Coturnix japonica: one gene and its partner. The protein of the gene in region 2 purifies or fractionates together with the protein of the main gene of each other region. This does not show direct contact. Links are inferred from orthologs where the notes say so. Each region holds a gene or a part of one and is shown on either strand. Other genes may lie near its edges.

Evidence for each region.
Region 1: the proteins of RPS29 (region 2) and HNRNPU fractionate together in Homo sapiens (co-fractionation; 3 studies listed by BioGRID and IntAct, with this or other methods). This does not show direct contact. The link is inferred for Coturnix japonica from reciprocal best matches to the Homo sapiens genes RPS29 and HNRNPU.

The regions. Positions count from the first base shown.
Region 1 is NC_029518.1:31,201,493-31,212,604, reverse strand, and holds the end of HNRNPU (heterogeneous nuclear ribonucleoprotein U), read right to left. Parts: intron 10,505-11,112; coding exon 10,405-10,504; intron 9,479-10,404; coding exon 9,366-9,478; intron 9,001-9,365; coding exon 8,737-9,000; intron 8,521-8,736; coding exon 8,401-8,520; intron 7,951-8,400; coding exon 7,822-7,950; intron 7,472-7,821; coding exon 7,303-7,471; intron 6,766-7,302; coding exon 6,526-6,765; intron 6,057-6,525; coding exon 5,854-6,056; intron 4,676-5,853; coding exon 4,604-4,675; intron 4,203-4,603; coding exon 4,149-4,202; 3' UTR 2,334-4,148; downstream 1-2,333. UniProt on the Homo sapiens protein: DNA- and RNA-binding protein involved in several cellular processes such as nuclear chromatin organization, telomere-length regulation, transcription, mRNA alternative splicing and stability, Xist-mediated transcriptional silencing and mitotic cell progression.
Region 2 is NC_029520.1:52,235,811-52,246,800, forward strand, and holds RPS29 (40S ribosomal protein S29), read right to left. Parts: upstream 9,886-10,990; 5' UTR 9,811-9,885; coding exon 9,749-9,810; intron 9,615-9,748; coding exon 9,515-9,614; intron 9,428-9,514; coding exon 9,419-9,427; 3' UTR 9,315-9,418; downstream 1-9,314. UniProt on the Homo sapiens protein: Component of the small ribosomal subunit. The ribosome is a large ribonucleoprotein complex responsible for the synthesis of proteins in the cell.

The DNA of each region.
Region 1 (11,112 bases), on a different chromosome or scaffold from region 2:
CCAGGGCAGTGGGCACAGCCATGAGTGCCAGAGTGTAAGAAATATTTGGACAATGCTCAGTTACGTGGTCTGAGTTTTGGGTTGTCCCATGTGGAGTTGGGAGCTGTACTCTACGATCCTTATGACAACTCACCTTTGTAACAAGAGGCCTCCCTCTCCCTCACTGCAGTCGTTCCCATAAGACTAGATGAGCTTTGTGTGAGGAGGGACACTGCTCTAACCTCACAATGCTTTTAACACTTAAATTGCAAAGCTACTGTTCTAAATCTCCACTCTCCTTGCAGCCTCCTGTCTGTCCCCACCCTCTGCCCCATTTCAGGGCCAAAGCAGTGTGAGCTGTATTACAGTGTGTGTTTGTGTGTGTGCACTTTTTTGCTTGTGAGAGTGTCAGATGCAGCTGTGGAACATCTGCAGAAGTCCTTCCGTATCTCCATCTGTAACTCAGGCAGACAGCTCAGGGCTCAGCCCACAGCTGCACTTCCACAAAGCACTGGCCTAGTTTTCCAAAGGGTCATGGAGAAGGAAACTTCCACGCTGTAAGAGATGACATCATTGGCTGTTTGTATTACAAACAGAAGTGTCATAGAAGGAGATGTAAAAAACCAGCAGCTTATACCACTGATACTTTTTTTAACCTCAGTGGCATGGACTGCACACAGCATTGCCACAATTCTGGGTTAGTTTATTCCACCATCAGAAAAAATGGGGCAGTGCTGAGGGAGAAGGGCAATTTTGGAATGTTTTAGCCAGTCAAACATCATTCTGCCATAGGCACGAGGCACACAGGCTCCACCACATGGAGACCCCACTGCCCAGTAACCCCCAGGCAGCCCAACACATGAGCAAAGCTGGCTTCTTACAGCAGGGTTTGGCTCTGAGGACAGGGCTCCCATAAGGAGTTCCAGAGAGTAAGCTAGAATCCAGCATCCCACAGGTAAGGGCCCAACCTCAGGTTACCTGAGAATGCTTCAGTGCCAGGCTTGAGGTACTCACAGAGCCCCAAGGACACAGCCTCATGCCAACAGCAGGGTGTGAGGGGAGCTCCCGTGTTACCCCACGTACCCTAGCAACTGCTGTGCGCAGTGACTCAAAGACAACACAAGTATTTGTTGGCTTTGCCTTCCAAATGGAAGCCTTCTGTCTCGTCTCCAGCATGGCCTCATACACACGGCTCTACAGTAAAGCAGCCATAGCTGCAGCAGCAAGATGTGAGCAGGCCCCAGACTGGGCTGCAGGACACAGGCAGCAGTGCAGCCCTGCTCCTGAGGCTCAGACATACAGCAGCCACCACGGTGCTGCTGTGGAGGCAGGGCCCAGGCGCTCCAGCTTTGGGCTGCATTACAAGGAGCCCCAGTCCTCACCACCCTCCTGCCACGGTGTTATATGCCACGAGCATGTGCTACACCCCCACCAGCACCACAGCTGCTGGAACAGGCACCTCTCCTCCTGTAAACAAGTCCTTATAAGCTGTGAAGTTACTCAATATGACAGATGGTTCAGCCCTGCCATGCTGACAACATGCAGCTGTGCTTTCTTTGCATCGATGCTACTAAGTTACCAGACTTTTTCAGGGAAATAAATGGCAATTGAAGTTAGTTGGAACAGTAGCGATGTTCTAGGTAAACAATTTTCAAAACAAATCTCCCTTTTAGCAATAGCTACGCTAAGATAAACTAAAGGAAGTTTTCCCTTGTGGATGAACCCAGGCTGAACCAAGCCTCACACAAATGAAGGCCTGCTCTGCAATGAGCACAGCAAGTACTTACACTCACATATCACATTTCTGAACTAACTGTTCCTCGATGGCACATAGAAGCTTTATGTTTCTGTACCTGAAATCACAGGGAGCAGTTAGTGCTGAGTACCTTAAGGCAACATTCCTCATTTAGGAGTATTCTTAGTTGAGACATACTCCTGTTTCAATGGGAAGCCACTTCAAGCCCTTCCTCTCCACTGTGGCATTAACACCGTATGTTGAAAAGAGAAGAAAACAGCCCAGACTTTTGCATTAAAATACAAACTTTACAAGCACATAGTAAGTGTAGGCTCTTATATTTCAGTTTAAGACTATATAATTTTATAGAGTACCAAAATAAGCAAAGGATCAGCACTCCATACAAAGTGTTAGGTTCTTAGGAGGAAGGCAGAAGGGAGGTGGAACTTAATTACACTAAGATTTGCTTTGCAAGTCTAAAGAAAATTCCATTTCAGCAAAAACAGTTGGGTTTATATTTCCCATATTTCTAGTTCATTAAATAATGTTTCTTTAAAGACAACTTACATTGTTCTTGTTCAAAGTAAAGGGATGATTTAAAGCAGTATTAACAAGGAGGTGGTGCTGTTAATGTTTAATGTCAATATGCAATGTCATCTGCTATAAAGGCTAGAAGAGCAACACAACTTTATCGTTACTTTCAAGGACTATTAGAAATCGACTAACATTTGAGGAAGGTTTCAAGCACACTACACTGCCTCTAGCTCTACGCTGCTGCTGGGAAAGCCTCTGCAATCTACTGTACACTGCCAACAGGAACTCGGCACACCAGCTCCAACTCCCAGCTGCTGGCAGCAATGTTTTCACATGTACGCTGTCAGGCCAACACCAAGCAGTTGTGTTTCTTCCCTGACTCATGGCATTAAGATGCAGTAGGTTATTAGCTAACATTATCGCTACAGTATTACAAAAAGCGTAAGTCTGAACAAAACAGCAGTTAAAGCGCTCTGCTTCACTTCAGGAGTCGTTCTGTGACAACTCTCCTCTAGTCCCTGCGGTTTCCTCCTCTACTTCTTCCCTAGTTTCTATTTTACAATAAATAGATTAAGTGGATTTACATGATGCAAGTGAAACTCAGAAGACTTCTGCCCTATGCATGTAACCGTTAAGCTGTGAGATTATACATGTGACACACCTCTAACAGAGCAACCACTGGTTTAGAGTATTAAAGAAACACAAGTATTTCAGCATGTACAAAGTAATGAGTTCAGAACTGTCCGACATGGTCACTTCCATACATTCTCTTCCTCTTTATAGCGTTAAAGGGATTTTAGACCTTGATGGCAACAATCCCAAAGCAAGAGTAAAATGAATTTATTTTATTGCAAACAAACGTCTAGAGTTAAATTTCTCCACCCACTTTCTTTAAAGAGAAAAGGAATCAGCAGGCTGAGGAGATACACCCATTTGAGAATCGACATGATTAAAAATTAGATATAAAATGGGTGACTCACAGTTTCATTAGCTTACAAAATGGTGGAGTAACTACTACAAGCACACTAGGTATACAGTATTTGGTGGGGAAGTTATACAGACACACAGCTAACTTCATATAGATCCCATTAGACAACTGGATTTACAACAAGTTTTGTTTAATAAGAAATGGGCAAAGCCAGCTTCTTTTCAGAATCAAAATGCAGAACAAATGGAAAAGAAATTATGGTGGTGTACCTTCACAAGTTTGAGCCTCCACAAGTAACGCAACCAAGTTTTACAACTTTAAGAGCTTCTACATACACTCCACCTTCACTATTGAGCTCCAGGTTTCCTCTTCACCCCCAATCTCATCGAGTTCCAAATGTTACAAAAAAGTCCTAGTTTATTGCCAGAAACTTTTACCACCCCCTTCCCACCTCCCCACACAAAAGCTTTATAGAGAGGATGGAGTGTAATATGGAGCTTTACATTATATATTCATGAGGGCTACCAAGGAGCCTCCACACGAATCTGGTTGCTCGTATTTCGATCGTATTTGTGACACGACTCACGACTGTTTCTTAGAAATTGGGGTAAATGGGGGGAAAAAGGAGAAAATTCTTTAATAAAAAGACACCAGGTACAAAGCAACGTTTTACTTTTGTTGTGGTAAAAAAAAAAAAAGTCACATTTTACAGATAAAATGTAGAACCCTGAAATACTGACACATTCTCTTATCGTGCACAATGCTGAGGTTCTCTTACGAATCACTTTAAAACTGCAATTAAAAATGTACAAAAAAAAGAAAAAGAAAAAAATCAACCCACAAAGCTTCTAAAAAAGGAACCCGCAGGCACTTCCTCTTGTGGAATGTTTAAAAAGTTAGCCTACTAAAGAAAACAGTCGACTTCTTGTGAAGGTTTGGGAGAAATATGTATCAGTTCATTTATTTGGGTATTCAATAATATCCTTGGTGATAATGCTGACTCCATGGCTTCTGACCCCAGAATTGCTGCAATAAATGGATAAATAGTTAATTTAAGTTAGTTAAAATAGTTAATTAAGTTAGCACATAACACGCTTCTTAGAGAACGAGTTTTTAAACACACATTTAACTTATCCAGGAACTTGAGATTAAAATCGTCTCAAATAGCAGCAAATCCCAGAACAACTGGAGGTGGTTACGTTCATTACACAGTAGTAACAGAGCCAAATACTTCAATGCCATTAAGACCAACGCGCCATAGCTGATACTTGATATATCAAGCCAGATCAAGCTTTGCAGAACTATTTATAATATTACTTGGCATTAGAAGATTCTGCTCTCTGGTGCTGGTTACACATTAATTTCCAAGCATTCTGAAACACTTAACAGTCAAATTAAGAGGAAAAAGTTTAGTTATTACTACTTACACCCTGCTGCCACTGGTTGTAGCCCTGAGATTGGTTTTTGTAGCCACGATTATTCCCCCTTCCTCTGAAGTTCTGCAAGAGGACAACAGTTTTGAGCCACCTCATCCATGCAGACTTGGCAGAAACACAGCAACACCAGTCCTTCTACTGCCACCAAAACACGTGCCATACCCAATCTTTCAAGTATCAGTAACGGGGCTGGGTTAAATACCAAAAGCCAGCCTCAAGCAGCTGCCTCTTAAAACCTGCCTGTTTAGTGGCAGCGGTTTTACCCCAGACACAGACTACAGTTGCCAATGGTTTGGAAAGCTGGCTAATCCAGTTTTGACTCACCCTATATCCAGCTACTAAACTGCACTAGGACAACTAAAAATACTAGAGCTTGCCTATTTTTAGTTAGGGAAGATTGTAGTTGCTATGTTATCTGATCGGACAAAAGGATATGGGTCATACAACTTAAAATAGAGGAGTTAGATCACAAAACTTTAAATAAAAGCCTTTGTACAAAAGACTATCTATGATAAAATACTGCATTTCCCATTTGTGTTAGACAAACCTGAGCCATGTTTATTAGCTTGGGCTCCATCTACTGGCTCTTCAGTAATCAGAATCATATTTTCAAGTGCTTTCACTGATACTTTGTCAGTTTAAGACCAAAGCTAGCATGTCTTTCATGATTTGATACAAGATGTCAATACAAAGACTCCTTCCAGAGCAATTTCCAGAAAATTCTTTAAATGCCATCCACTTTATCTTCTGAACAGATACACTCTGCCCTTAAGGTCAAACAACAGTTACTGATACTGCAGGTTGGACAGCATGAGGGAACAAAACCACCTGTTAGTATGGCTGCTCTTATACGGACTTCTGCACAATTTGTGCAGTATCAAAACCCAACTCTAGTTAAACTCAAACAGTTGGACTATAAGCCAGACTTAAGCATAAACTGCACAGGGTAGACCCACATTCTATAAATGAAGCTCAGACTATGAAGTGCTTTACAATGGAACAGAAACTCTAAAAACCTTCAGCTTTATCAGGACTAAGATAGGCTTACTAGGAAACCACTGCATCAGCATTCACAGTTCTTACAGCTCCAGGCATGTACTCTTAGCTAGAAAGTTAAATCTTTTGCTGTGGAACTAAGTGTACCAAGCTTGCTACTATCCACAGCTAACAAGCCTGTCAACAACAGAACAGTATCCAGAGTACTGCATATCAACTAGTAACTCCTCCATGACAAGCATTACCTGGTTGTAGTTTCCCCTGTTGGGCATTCCACCTCTGTTATAATTTCCTCTGTTTGAGTAGCCACCTCTGCTAGGAAAGACAGGGCCACGAGGATAAGGATAGCCAATGGCACCGCTGCTGCCGCCACCACCGCCACCTCCACCTCCACCACGCTGTGGCATATTGCCTCCCCTCCTGTTGTATCCACCTCGATTGCCTGGGACTGCAGAGAAAAGTTTGCTCAATTCAAGTACCTGTTAGGCCTTAATTGTCTCTCACGCAGTTACAGCTTCAAACAAAGACTCTTAAAAGGTGAAAAAACGAGATGCCAAAATTCACTGCAGAAGTTCCAATGCAAACACTTCAAAATAACCTTTTATCCATGACGGCCAAGCAACATAAAGATACCAAATGCCCCCTTAATATGGCGTTCTACACAAGGAAGCACCAGATTTACTGTAAGAACTTAAAATTGTACCTCAAACTACACAAACAGCAACATTTTTTGTGAAGCTCAGTTGTAACGTGTCAGAAAATTAGCTTTGCACTAAAGGTCAAGCTATTAAAAACTTACTGGAACTGAAATCGATGATACTGTCACAGAATGGATGCAATTCAAATAGGACAAGCTTTCCTTTCTTATTTTTGCAATCCGTTATCCCCAACATTTATACACTTATTTCTAGGCTCACCTCCTCCTCTGAAGTTGCCACGCATGTTGAATCCTCCACGCCCCCTCTGCCCTCTATTAAACTGATTTTTATTGCTCTTCTTGTTTTTCTTTGAGCCAGTGTTCTGTTTCTTTTCTGGCGGAAGAGATTTCTTACTTTCTTCTTTATATTGTTCCAAGAGTTTCTGAGCTTCTTCTTTTTGCAATTCTACATAGATTATTTCATCAAAACATTCTGCTACCTCTGGCAGTGTGAAGTTCCCTATAATTGCAAAAACACTGAGTATTCAGCATCTCCATTCAGCCACAATTCAAGCTGCATTTAACCACCTTTCTCTCTCATTCTTCCTCCCACCCCCAACATTCTCTCAGCATAGGGACAAAATTACGTAATTTGAGCAGTAAAGAAAGGTAAGAGTGACAAAAGAAATAAAAGGGTCTCCATGGAGTTGCCAGTACTGTTCCAAACCTTGAAAGCATTCTGCCTATGCTTTTTTTTTTTCCCTTTATAAGCCTCCACTCAGAACATCAGTTTCTGCCAAATATGTCACTTAAATAGGGCACTTTATGCCAAGACAGCTTTGTGCATCTGCATGAAGCATATCAGCATAAATGAGTAGTGTTAAGGACTGCAGCAGAGGGAACACAATATAGTGTTGTCCTACAAGTTACAATAGTCTTCCAGTTTTGTTTAAGTACAACTGTTTAAGATAACGTAAATTTTTAGATTTCAGGTTTACTTAATCCTTTAAGCAGATATTCAGCATCCTAAAACACAGTATAGGATTATGTTCCATGCCTTTCATTTTGAGAACTGCATGCTCTGGAAGATCTTTTCCCTCCACCTCTGCCTTCTTTTGTGTTCTTTGCTTGTAGTCTTCATCTTTTGGGCAAACAACAACTGCTTTGCGCTGGAAGCCTGCAAACAGGCACATTTTTCTCCTCTGCGCAGCTGCAGACACATTTGTCTGAAAAAAATGCAGTAACTTACTACACGTAGCTGTCATTGTAAGAGTTAAGGAAGTCAACTTATGGTGTATAGACTTCACCTCTACAAGAGCTTGCATTGAAGTTTACAAATAACTGGACATAAAGAAGCTGCATAATGCAAAGTTACGAACGAGCTCATATCAAAGTGTTACACTATTCCTCCCACATCCCATAGAAGTTCAGAAAAGCATTTGCAGTAGCATCTCAACTTTGCACATTAAATCAGTAAGTGAAACAACCGCTATTAAAATATAACTTTAATCCCACTTAATTACTACATTACAGCCTATAGCAAAATTCCTTAACAATTTTTTACTGAAGTTTCTACCTGATCCAAAATGAAATTCCGCTTCTTACGAGCTGCAATCTCAATGAATTTTCCAAGACACTGTGGAGCTCGCTGCAACAGTGTGTTAAGCTTCCCAGTGTCTGCCATCTGCCTCTTAAAACCTGCAACCTATAGAAATTTGAGTTATAGTAGACTCAGTACACACAACTGATATTTTGCTCTGCTAAAGTTATTTTCAACTGGCTTCAGGGATACAAAATACATAAATACAAACTTCCGATTCAGTTTTTTTCTTTTATAAGCAAAGAATTTGTTTGAATTGATACAGCTGAATCTGAGGTGTACTTGTATTACTGACTCCAAGCTGTATTTTCTGTACTGAGGACGGAGACAAACAAATGGGTAAACATCAATTACTTCCTGATTGATATTTATTACATAAGAAATTTCAAAATCTGGCTATGCTGTGTATGAGAAGTAGCTCAGCACGGTAACATCTTTAGCACTCACAGTCAGTCAAATAACGATCACGTGTTTCTTAGATTACTTAGACTGAAGGGAATTCCCTGGCAGCCAAGGACCTTGGATTTACAGCAAGTCTTTAAATGATCAACTTACCATCATTTTGTCCATAATAGTATTCGTCCCAAGAATGTTGTACTTCCCAGGATTTGCTGCTGCGTGTTTAGTTACCCATGTAGTCTTGCCAGCTCCAGGCAATCCAATCATCATCACCACCTATTACAACACATTCCGTATTTGATGCTAGCTCACAGATATTCCTTAATAAGCAACTAAGCCTAGCAACCCTAATGGAAATCTAGTATGGAGAGAGGCACAAGCTACTCAGTATTAAATTCTTCAGACAGAAAGGTGAATTTTCTTTAACAGCTTAAAATACAACACTTGGGTTCATCTCTCCTCAACAACTTCTGAGATAACCAGGAAACTTACCTCACAATCTTTCTTTTGCTCAGGTCCTTTTGGTCCTCGAACCCTGTCTTCCAGGGGGACCTTCTGGATGAAGGTATACTCTTCGGGTACAGGAAAGTAAGGTTCATCCTTCTGACCAAAGTTGAACTCAACTGCACAGTTATGGCAGAGAACATGTGGAAAGAGTGGGCGCCCATCAAGAACTTCCTTACTAATTTTGAATGCAACACCAAGCTCTTGTCCGTTCTTGGAATACGAGAGCTCCACTTCATCACCATCAAAATTCTGTTTCACAGACAAAGCGTTAGTTTGTGTAAAAACATGCACACTGCATAAAAACACATTAATATTTCACCACACTGGCTGTATTTATATAACTTCTAATAACACCATTATAAAATGAGTAGATCCTTAAATTAGGAAACAATCTTTAAATATCAATGATCGTGCTAAGACATGATTATTCTTTTCAAAGCCTTGGAAAACATGAGAAAGGTTGACAGCAGCCACTGCTGCTTATACATGCTACTTCTACCTTCTCAGTACGCTAAATAACTTGTCTTTCTTCAAATCAACCGCTTCTCACATCAAAGCAGCCTGAAAATTAAAGGATGTTTTTCCTCAAGAGAATAACTTAAGAGAAAACTTACAGCAAAACATCCAATCACATCATTTTCATCAAACTTCTCACCAAAGTCTTCAGTCTCACAATTGCATGTCTTTATTCCCTTTAGAGAATAGCCGTAAGAAAATTCTTCTTCACCTGAACAAGAAATTTAAACTTTGTAATAATACGTATTTTCTTCTAGCTGTTCAGAAACGCAATTACTTCACAATTACTTAAATGAACTGCTGTTCTAAATGTTTTCATTGATGCCAAAACAAGTCATCACCCTCAGAATAGCTACAGCTGTTTCTTGCATTTAAGAATTCAATAGTGTCATTTAAAATGGAACAGCAGTTTTTTCCTCACCCTAACCTTAAAAGCTTTATGCTACTGGTTCCAGATTCTTGGTGACAAAATGCTGAACACTTCTAGCTAAAGACATGAGTAAGTATTCTTAAACCCTGAAAACCTGTTTGTGAATCAGTATACCTGTAATGCAGTTAGTCAGAAAGGCATTTCTGAATTAAGTCTCCAGCAGCACTTACCCCTCCCCATTTTAAAGGGAGTTTAGCAGACATTCAGCCTATGCGACAGCTGAGGATGAAGCTGCAAGGAACAAGCTAACAGCAAACGTCAAACACAAGAACTCAGATGGAATTTAAGTACGTATAACTAGAAAGTTGCTGCTATCAGAATACCCCTATTCGTACACATTTTTCAGACATATCTCATCAGCAGCTATTAGTTAAAAATACAGTAATTATCTGATCCCACTTATCTACTGAAGTTGTTTTTTGTTGTTCCAGCTGTTTAGAAATAAGACTCCCCAACTCCAAGAGAATAGTAACACAATTATCTACGAATTTTCCTTCTATGCGTAAACCTTATAATCTCAAAATCTTAAATAGTTAACCTTGTTTGGTCCCAGTACTAAACTTCCACAACATCCATTAATAACTCAAAACCCCTTTTCAAAACACACGGGCTACAATCGTTCAGTTTTACAGATGCTTTTCTGTTAGTCAGACAGGAAAATTTCAACCACAGACAATATAACACAGAAGAAAAACTTGAGGTCTTACCGAGCAACATTCCACTTGTGTTCAGCGACCAGCCAACTCGCACCTCATGTATATCAATGTCTTTTGTATACAGGTGTTTAACAGGAATCTTTTCTGTAACCTATTTTTAAATTATTCATTAAAAGTTATTGAGTGTTTTTTTCTAAGATCCCAACAAGAAAGAAGCAATGGTAACATCCAGAACCTTTATTCTCTGCTTACATCTTTACAAGTCCAAATAACAGTTTTTTTGCTTAAGTACAAGACTTAACCATGCCTGTGAAATCACAAAGCAGTCACTAAATGTTCAAATCCCTTGACTGACGGAGATGCAAAACATCACGTACCTTCAGAGCACTTAATCACAGCATTCTCTTGATAGTCAAAAATATCAACCCTCTTGATACTGCGTTAAAATTACAGCCCGCAAGGAATATAATCAATTAGAAACTCTGCTACAACATCGGGATTAACAGCGAATTGCTTTGCCAATAAAGTGTGGCATGAGATGAGAACACTTCTCCAGACAGACCCAGGGAAATACTACACCCTTTTCCAGAGAAAGCAGAGATCCCAGGCAAATTGCCAACTACCAAACAACAGAACCAGATTCAAAAACCTCGCCTGGGAGCACTGCGAGCTGGAGGCAACCAGCTCCTCTAATCGCCTTGTAGAAAATAGCATCAAATTTAAGTGGGGAAAAAAATCACAGGCCACTGGTTTCCACAA
Region 2 (10,990 bases):
CTTGAATGCCTGCAGGGATGGGGCATCCACAGCCTCCTTGGGCAGCCTGTTCCAGTGCGTCACCACCCTCTGGGTGAGCAAATTGTGTGTTTTTAGAGATGCAGTTGCTCTGATAGTTTTTCCATACAAGAGCCACAAAATAACATTTTCCACAGCACCCCCATCCCCTTCTGTCTGTGGGTGCAGCCCCAGCTCTGAGCTCTGGGTGACATGAGGACAGGGTGGAGACAGGGACAGAACTGGGACTGGGACCCTTCCCCAGAGGCCAGGAACACCGCAGACTCCATGCAGCACCGAGGCCTCCTTCTGCACCATAAATTATCAGGAAACATTAATAAACAGCTCCATCTACTGACAACATCACCTCCAAATTCCAGATCCTGCAAGAGTGCCCTGTGCCGCTGGTCATGTCTCAGCCTGGGCCAACCCTTCACCAGCTGCCATCCCAACTACAGCCCCAGCACAGCCCCAGGTGTAGGGCAGCGCTCTGGGGCTCTTCCCAGAGGCCCCAAATTACACCTTTTAGTCTCCATTCCCAGGGCATCTGAGATCACCCATGAAATACAAAGGCGATGAAGCCAACCCAAAACAATGCAAGTTTTGCAAATTGCCCAGAAGTGGCCAATTTCATACATACACCAACCTCTGATGTAACATCTTCCATTGCCTCTGAGACAGAAGGCCAAACACCCCAAAGTCCAACAGAAGCATATGGAGGTGCCACTGCTCCCCTCAATGGCTCCAGGCGCAGGGGTAGCTCTCCAGTGTCCCCAAAGGCGCTGGACCCTCAGGTCCATCTTCTTCATGCCTAAAGGGGTAAATAGCAGCATGATGGGAATACAAGTGTCTGAGAGTCCCTCCTCCCAACCCTTCCTGACTCTATGAAGGTGGGCTCATCCCCCCTAGCTACAAACATCACTGATCCCACCAGCCCAAACCCACTTCCCATGTATGGCAGGACAGACACACGTGAGGATGGTGTGAAGACCATGGCAGAAGCACTTTGAGCTCATGACCACTTCATAATCACTGCCAAAAGTCCTACAGAGATGAGACTGCATCCACACGGGTGGGACGTTACCAGCAGGGTCATCTGCTCAGTGCCCCCAGCCAGCACCACTCCCCGCAGGGCCAGGACCCCATACAGCAGATGCTCTTTCTCTGACCCCAAATCTCTGCTTTACCCATGAAAGTGGAGCTTCAGGGCTGTACCGGAGCTGGAAATGCTGCCCCTGGAGCTGGGGGTCATGAGGTGGCACAGGGCAGGGTGTCAGCCCAGCAGAGATCACAACCAGCACAGAGCATGAAAATGTTCCTCATGCAATTTTAACTCCGGTGCACAAACTTAGCTCCATTCACTTGTTAAAGTTTTATGTGTCCCTGGGAGGTGGGGAGGGGGGGAACCATCAGCACTGCTGGTGTTTTTTATTTGTGTTTCCACTCACAACAGATCCATCTGCTTTTATCGGCTCCCTGGTTGACCTCCAAAAAAGCAGAGGCTGTAAAAGAAAGGGTGGGGATCTCCAACCATGATGGATTGTGGGGTGAAGCCCCAATACCACAAGAGGAAGAGTTTGAGCCCCCATCCAGCAGGAACCAAATGGGATTTCACAGTGGTCCCCAGGGATGCAGGTGCTGAGGTCACTGCAGAAGAGCCGGGCTCCAACAGTACAGCCCTTGGGCCAAAAATGCGGAAAATCAGGGAAAAGATGTGAAGCCAAACAATAACAGAACTTCTCAGCACACGCTGTCATGGACCACCTGAAATTCCCCTTGCCGTTTCTCTCCATAAATGTCATCCTCAGGCAGATGCTCTGCAGTTAAGGGATGTTTGTTTGGATGTATAAATAGTCCCTGTCTCTGCTGGGGCTCCTGAGGCCGCGCGGTGCCAACTGCTGCCCCTCTGTGAGCTGTGTGCCCTCGTTTACCCCTCAACCACCCCACAAACAAGCACTGCCTCCTCGTCCTCCATCCCCTCACTGACGCAATGAATGAGTTTAACAAGAGGCGACATCCAGAGTTACTGCTTTCTGGATCACGCATAGAATCACAGAATCATTAAGGCTGGAAAAAACCTCCCAGATCCCCAAGCCCAAACCCAACCCATCTCCACCATCCACGTCCCTCAGTGCCACACCTCTATGGTTCTACATGTCCCCACTACCACCACCTGGGCAGGCAATGGCACTTCTTCATCCTCATGGGCACTTGTGTGCTTTCCATCACACCCACCTTGTCATCCTGGGACATGGGATGCTCCTTCTTTAGCCCCCACCAACACTCCTCATAAACGTCCTTTACTGGTGCAGATTCAGTGGTTTTCAGCCCGTCCTTTGGGAGGTGGATTTGATGCAGTATCCCATCGTTCAGTCTCACTCTGTCAGAGTCTCTTGAAAAGAAATAAAGTCAAATCGCAGCTGCAGACACGGTGTTTTATGGATGTCGCAGCTTTAATATTCCTTTCACAACAGGCTGTGGACATAAGAGGCCAGTTTGTCAATCCAGCCATTGCCTGGGGCTAAGCTGCTAATTCTGCTGCGTGGCTGAGGAGCGCACGAGAGAGCTGCTTTCCAACGCCAATGCTCAAGAAGGGGCACTTTCTCCCTTTGGTCCCTGCCATTTCTTTTCAGTGTTGGCTGAGATGATTCCACTCACAGCTTTGTGTTGCAAATCTTTTTTAATAACTCGTGGGTTTTCTTCTGCTCGTAGCAGCGCTTGCTCTTCTATGTGGTTTTCCTATCTGATAAAGGCTTTGAAGATGCTTTGGCCTTTTCTGTGGAGGAGCAGTGGCATAGAAATGTAGAATCAGAGAATCGTCATAGAACAGCCTGTGTTGCAAAGGCCCACAGTGCTCATCCAGCTCCAACCCCCTGCTGTGTGCAGGGTCACCAACCAGCAGCCCAGGCTGCCCAGAGCCACATCCAGCCTGGCCTTGAATGCCTGCAGGGACAAGGACTCCACCACTGCCCTGGGCAGCCTGTTCCAGAGCTTTCATGCAAACAGCCCTCTTTGTTTTTGCATGGAAACTGCTGATCCTGCAGAATCAGAGTAGACCCTGGGTGGCTTTACCCTGCTGGCAAAGCTCTGCTTTGGCATTCATGCTTTTACACCATTTGCAATAGAAATTAAAGTATTCCTATCCAAAACCAGATGTTTCAGCTGAAAAGAGAGGTATGACTGTTGGTCTCACATGGTCTATAGCAGGAGCACTAAGGCAACCAAAAGCATATCCCCATGATTTACATCACCCTCCCCCCTGCTTCTGAGGGTTCAAGTCCGAAGCCAACCCCAAATCAAGGTGAGTTTACAGCCATGCTTGGAAGCGGCCCCAGTACATCAGCTGTGTGAGAAAGGTGGGATTTTCCCTCTGCCAAAAAACTTTGAGCAATAACACAGGTAAATGGCTCCTCAGTGAGCACTGAAAACAAGTTTGGCTTCAGAATAATCCAGCTCACAGATGGACCACCTCAAAAAAAGAGTGTTACCAGTGAGGTACAATGAAAAATGGCACTGTTTTATTTGGTATATGATGAGCAGAATCTCCCCACTGTTCCCAGAGAGCTGGCTTTAGCAGGTACAACTGTACCTGCAAAATCTTCATACGTTGCCTCCAGACAAGATGCTTACCTTCTTTTCCTATGCTGATAATAATTTTTTCCATATGTTATAGCTGTTAAATGTAGTTTGCACTCCCCTGATCAGAGGACAGGCTTTGTGGCAAGGAGGAGCCTAGTGATGGGACACGGATGCATCACACTGCACAGCACTGGCAGCCAGGGCACTGTGTGCTGCACCTCTAAGCACAAGAACATTTCATTGCCCATCTGACCAGCTGCAACGAGGCATCCTCAGAGCCATCAAACAATCCTCCTTCTAAGCACTTGGTCTTTGTTGGGAAATGAATTGGGTGTATGGCTGTAGATGTCCAGAGTATAAACAGCACTCTGCTGTGGGTGTTGGGAAAGAATGGACAGACCCATAGGGCTGAAGATCAAGAAGAGCCCATCCACATCAATGGCCACAACCGACTTCATTACGTCATTCCCAGGAGTTGGATTCAATGACCTTTCATAGAATAGAATCATAGAATCACAGAATGATCCGGGTTGGAAGGGACCTCAAGGATCATGTAGTTCCAACCCCCTGCCTGGCAGGGCCACCAAACTTTCACAATTACTAGATCAGGTTGCCCAGGGCCCCATCCAACCTGGCCTTGAACACCTCCAAGGACCTTTCCAATGGGTCCTTTCCAAGCTGGGATGCTCTATGATTCTGTGACTGCTGCAATGTCTGAGCTGTGTTAACGGCCTTCCAGGTGTTTCTTTCCTTCATTAGTACAAACACCTCAAGAAAATCAGCAGTGCTGAACCAACTTCAAACCTTGATCCCTGCATCTGCACCGGGGTAGGACTGTGCTCTTCCCAGGCACCTGCCACCACAGCCCCATCGATGCCCATGTATCTATTCCAGTTATCTCAGAACATTTTGTTTTTTCATGGCAAGAACTCGTCCCCGAGCAAGTTGTGTGTGAAGTTTAGATGGCAGCAAACCACTGCCTGCTGTGCTAGGTGGCTTCATAAGCAAGGTCATGCTCTGCAGGGAGGAAGCCCAAAAGCACACAGCCCAAAGTATGGCCATCAACACCCTCAGACAGGGAAAGAGTGGAGCTCTGTACAACTGTGCTGCAGGAGCTCATCATGTAGTGCCACAGGCCCTAGGGTGATTCAGCACACTCGATGATGTTTCACCGAGGTTAATTTAGATTCAAACATAATCGATTATGGGGATTTGGGACAGAGTTATGTCGTGAATTTAGCTGACAAAGGCTGGATGTTAGGAAAGTTTTCTTCTCTGAAAGATCGGTGCTGCAGGGGCACAGCTGCCCAGCGAGTGGAGGCGTCACCATCCCTGGGGGCAACACTGGTGGCAGCAGATGGTTGGACGTGGTGATCTCAGAGGTCTTTTCCAACCTTAACGATTCTGTGGTTCTCTAAGATCTGTTATAAATACATTTATAAAGGAGGAAAATGTCTGATGGCTTGGGAAATTTAGAGCTATTGAACAAAGTATTTGACATCTGTATTAACTCAAAACCCCAAACGGGCTGAACTTGTTTGCATTCCTTCAGCCTTAATACTGGGTGAATTTACCTTACTGATTCTATGAATCTATAAGCTCCCCTCAGCACCACCAGCCGTGCAAGGCAGGCTTCCCTTTAAAATCCAAGCTGGAAGGAACCCATAGGGATCACCAAGTCCATTCCAGCCCCACACAGCACCACCCAAACCCACACCCTATATCTGAGAGCAGCGTCCCAGTGCTCTCCAAGCCCAAGCAGCTCCAGGCAATGCCTGAAATAAAGTGAAAATCCTGCTAGCAGGGAAGATGTCAATTTGATTTTTAAGTTTGTTTAAAGCAGTTTTAACACTAAACAAGTAAACATTTATAACTGAATAAATAGTTTTCAGTTTAGTCAAGGAGCATTCAGTGGGTGTTGGCATAAATATTCAGTTATGGAAATTATTTGATTAAAATAGATTTTACATGCCATAAATAAACATTGTCTGCAACAAACACACACTCCCAACAAGCATCTTGAATTAGAGAGCCACTGATGCCTAATGCCAGCCTTTGAAAATGTTTTATTTAGCAGCACTTCTGCTCACCACGCTGCAAGCCAGATCCCATCTGCATGGGCTTCTCCAGGCATTCATCTCACTGTACCATGAAGGGGAGCGGGGATGAGGAAGGGTGATGCACCAACAGCCAAGGGCTCCTCTGGGTGCTGAGATGGAGCAGGGGCCAACAAAGTCACCAAACATGGGCCTGCAATGGGTGGGCAGCACTGCAGGGTCAGCCTGCCTGGTGTTGGCTGTCTGCAGAAATCAGGGTGAGGAGTGTGTTCCAGCCAAACCTGCTGTTGGACTGGGCTGGGAGCGATGCTGGCCTCTAAGCACAGGGTGTGTAGAAGAGCAACATCGGAGCACTGAAGCACATTAAGTGACACATAGGTGGGGGCAGAGACTTTTCCAATATGTATTCATAAATAAATGCCCCCAGGTTGACGAGTATTTGTGGTGCCAGCTCGGATGAGGCCCCTCAAGGCAAGAACTGAAAATGTGGTTCTCATCTCAGGCTGAGAAATGCAGAGCTCCTGGCCAGCCTTGGCAGAGGGCTTTGCAGAGCTGCTTCTGCACAGAAGCTGCAGATCCAGCAGGCAGACTGTGCCATCTAGCTTCTGCTTTAATACAGGCTGCTGCCGTGTGCGCCTGGCCGTGCAGTGACATCTGTACATGGGGAAACAGGCACCCAGCACCCTGCTTTGGTGGTAGACACAGCATGGGCACAGGACCCTGCCATGGTGCTCAAAGCTGAGTCTGGAGAAGCACAAAAGTGTGCACAAGGACCATACAAGTGCAGACATAGAACCATAGAATGGCCTGGGTTGCAAATGCCCACAGTGCTCATCCAGCTCCAACCCCCTGCTGTGTGCAGGGTCACCAACCAGCAGCCCAGGCTGCCCAGAGCCACATCCAGCCTGGCCTTGAATGCCTGCAGGGATGGGGCATCCACAGCCTCCTTGGGCAGCCTGTTCCAGTGCGTCACCACCCTCTGGGTGAAAAAAACACCCTCAAAAGACATCTACAAGCAGCAGCAGAAGAAGAATCAGCTGATTCTAATAAGAAAGCCCTAGCTCAGACGGGTAGCAGTGGCCATGCCAATGAATACTCAGGTTGAGGATCACTGCAGCTCTGACAGCCTCCTGCACTGACACCAGAGCAGCCCTCAGCCCCTGAGGCAAGGAATAGAACTAGCCAAGGTGACAAGAGCTCCCTGGCACACAACCTGAGATGCTACAAGCAGAACAGCCCAAAGGCCACCCCCAACCTGCTCCCACGCAGCAGCTCCATGGGTTGGGCTGCAGCTCAGTGGCCATTGGGGCACAAGAACCCCCCCCAGCACCTGCATTGCTGCAGCCTACCTGAAGGAATCCTATTTTTCCTATCTGAGCGTGTCAGGCAGTTTCATTTTTCTCGCCTCAGGGTGAGTTCAAAAGCCAATGTTCTACCCAAAGCTTTGCAAATTCCTCTCAGAGCCTCTGATAATCACAGATTTTATCTGGTGCGTAATCCAATGCAACGCAGTGTTTTTTCCTATACTCCAAATCCCATATAAACTCTATTTCAGCAATTGGAGCTTCATCTTTTTCAAAGCAAACTTATCAGTAGCTTTTACCAGGCTCCAAACAGGCAACGTTATTTCCCTACAGGAAAACATGTCTTAGCTGTTCGCTATTAATGCAAAGTCCTTAAAGAGCGCTTTGATTTTACCTGTTCTTCGGGGGAATCCACAGCTCTTTATAAATCACTTTGCTTCCAAATAAGTTTCAGCTTCACATCTGTGCACCTTCAGAGCCTGTAATCATCAGCTTGAGGATGGAAATGAAGGCAGTTTTCACAACGAGCTCAGCAAACTCCAGCTTCTGGCACCTAGTTTTCTCTATATACCAGCAATCAATACCCGGTTCAGGCAGCAGGAGGTGTAAAGGCACCACAGTTTGTGCTACACCACCTTCCCAGTAGGCTTAAAAGATGGGAGCTGCAGAATAGGAACAAAACAAGAACATTTCACATTCCCCAAATTACCAAGTGATGATATAGCTGGTTTAATGAGCACAAAGTGATTCAGAAGCATCTTTAGTTCTGTTTTCAGGTAGGAACACACTTCTCAGTTGGCATCCCTGCTGGGCAGCTATTGGTACAGAGCTTTTTTTAGTACCATTTTCCATCTCACGGTTAACACGTGCTCAGCCCCTGGGCCCAGAGCCCCAGCAGTGCTGGAGCTGCACTATTCCCTGTGCCCCACACCAGCTCCCCTCATGGATTTAAGTGTTGGTTTACACTGAGCAGTTCCCATTAAGGCCCCCCCCCCAGCTCGTTTGGATCCTCAGACATCACCACTTTGGGCTGTAGGAGGCTTCCTGGCAGACACTTGTAATCCCCTTAATTATCAGGCCACCCCAAACAGTGGCAAACCTTACCTAGAGAAGGGCACCCTACCCTCCCCAACATTGGGAATGACCCCTACGTCAGAAATAACAGAACTTGCCACATCAGTGGCATCTGTATGAATTGAAGACACCCCCCTACATCTGCCTGAACTCTCTCTGTAAGGGAAATGTAAGGACTCTCACCACACCCAAAAAGACAAAGAGCTGTTGGAGCACATCCTGAGAAGGGCAATAAAAAGGATCTCAAGGATCAACACCTCCGCTATAAGGGCAGGCTGTGAGAGTTGGGGCCGTTCAGCCTGAAGAGAAAGCTCCAAGGAAAGCCTTGAGTGCGTTTCCAATACCTAAAGGGAGTTTCTAAGAAAGGAGACCCAGCTCTTCACCACTACACTGTGGCAGAACAAAGGGAAATGGTTTCAAACCAAGAGGAAATTTTACATTGGATATAATGATGAAGGGTTGTGTTGTTTCATTTCTTGCAGTGAGGCACTGTCACAGGTTGCTAGAGAAAAGGTGGTACCCTGGGCCTGGGGGCACACAAGGTCAGGGTGGGCAGGGTCTGAGCGTTTGATGGAGCTGTGGGTGCTCCCATTCACTGCAGGGAATGGCACCCGATGGCCTTCAAGTGTTCCTTCCAACTCAAAGGATTCTGTGACACACCAACCCAGACCAGAGCAGCAATAGAGCCCCAGGAGCCCAATTTATGAGTGTGAGATAACACCAGAGTCACCAAGCAGCCAAGAGCAAGCAGGCTGCATCCCTAGGGCTCAGAAGCACCACAGAAACACAGAATGGCCTGGGTTGGAAGGGACCTCAAGGATCATGAAGCTCCAACCCCCCACATTGATACCAGCCCAGGCTGCCCAGGGCCCCATCCAACCTGGCCTTGAACACCTCCAGGGATGGACGGGGCATCCACAGCCTCTCTGGGCAGCTGTTCCAGCACAGCACCACTCTCCCAACTTAAAACCATTTCCCCTTGTCCCACTATTATCAGCCCTTTCAAAGAGTTGACTCCCCTCCTGATTATAGGTTCCCTTCAGGTCCTGGCAGGCTGCACTGAGGTCACCCCACAGCTTTATTTCCTCCATGCTGAACAAGCCCAGCTCCCTCAGCCTGTCTTCACAGGGGATGTGCTCCAGCCCCTGGATCATCTTTAAGGCATCACCTGGTTTTGTCTGGCTAAAGCCTAAAAAACCAAGCCAAGCCCATTCAGACCAACCCAGAACCCAGCCCTCCTAAAACAGGCACGATAGCGGGATACGAGCCCTACAAACAGATACACAACACAGCGAGACACCGGTTAATAGGGCAGGGAGGCCATTTATTGACAGAGGCTACACCGAGGTGCTGCAGGGAGGGCCGAGGAGAACGCAGGATCCAGCGGTGACCTCATGATCCCAGCGCTCAGTCCAGCTGCAAGAGAACGACAGGAGTGAGGAACCAGCAATGGGGGGCAATGGGGGGGGGGGCAATAGGGGGGTGCAGGCAATGTGTGCTGACCTTGATGAAGCCGATGTCCTTGGCGTACTGGCGGAAGCACTGCCGGCACATGTTCAGCCCGTACTTTCGGATCAGGCCGTGGCGGTTGGAGCACACGCGGCTGTGGAGAGAAGGGAGCGGTCAGGGCGGGTAATGGCGGAGCGGGGAGAAACCACGACAGAGTGAAAGAGACCGAGACCCACCAGCCCCAATAACCCCAATAACAACCCCAATAACCCCGGGGTGAGCACTGACCACGACCGCGATCCCTGCCCGAACTTCCTGGGGTGGCTCCAGTACAGCTGCTGGTGCCCCATGGCTGCGTGCGGCGCCACCAGCACAGAGAGAAAGATGGCGGCCCGCGCGTGCGCTAATCAACCCGGCCCGGCCTCCCGCCCTGCACCGCGGCACTGGGGGGCGGCGCGTGCGCAGAGCGACCCGCTCCCCCTCCCTGCGCCGTGTGACGTCACCGCCGTGTTAGAGCTGTATGGCTCGCGCGGCGCTGCTGCCGCTGCCGGGCGCGGTGGCGCACGCCTGTAGTCCCAGCTACTCGGGAGGCTGAGCCCGCCGGATCGCTTGAGCCCAGGAGTTCTGGGCTGCAGTGCGCTATGCCGAGCGGGCGTCCGCGCTAAGGCCGGCATCAATATGGTGAGCCCCGGGGAGCCGAGGCGCACCAGGTTGCCTAAGGAGGGGTGAACCGGCCCAGGTCGGAAACGGAGCAGGTCAAAACTCCCGTGCCGGTCAGTAGCGGGATCGCGCCTGTGAATAGTCACTGCAGCGTAGCCTGGGCAACACAGAGAGACGCGGGTTCCTTTTTGACCAAAACACGAAACAATTTTACCCACCCGCGACCCCCGGCCCGTCATTATTGCCCCGTGTGCGCAGCGCCTCCTGCTGGCGGCACCGCGTCATTGCTGTGCCCTGGATACAGCGCGTTATTGCTGTGCTCTACAGCACCTCCTGCTGGACACACCGCGTTATTGCTGTGCTCTATAGCGCCTCCTGCTGGCCGAGAGCGAGCTGTGCACTGCGTACACCGCCCCTCGGCTGCCGTCCCCACGCCGACCTCCGGGCTGAAGGCGCTGCGCTTTCACTTGGTGTTTTTCTCAGGACCTGAGGAAATGGCCACAAGTTGTATCAGTTGAGGTTTAGGCTGGACATAAGAAGGAACTTTTTCTCTCAGAGAGTGGCCAGGCACTGCAATGGCTGCACAGGGAGGTGGTGGAGTCGCCATCCCTGGCAGTGTTCAAGAAGCATCTGGATATGGAGCTAGGAGAGATGGTTTGGGGTTTGCTGTAGGTGTGGTAGGGGGAGGACGGTTGGACTGGACGATCCTGTCAGTCCTTTCCAGCCTTGTGATTCAATGATCCCATGATTCTGAACGCTCCCATCTCGCAGCCTGTCCCCGTCCCGCAGGTCTCGGTCGCCGTCCCTGGAGCTGCTCCGGAGCCGCTGTGGGGCACATGGGGTGTGTTGGGATCTCGGGGGCTTTTCCAG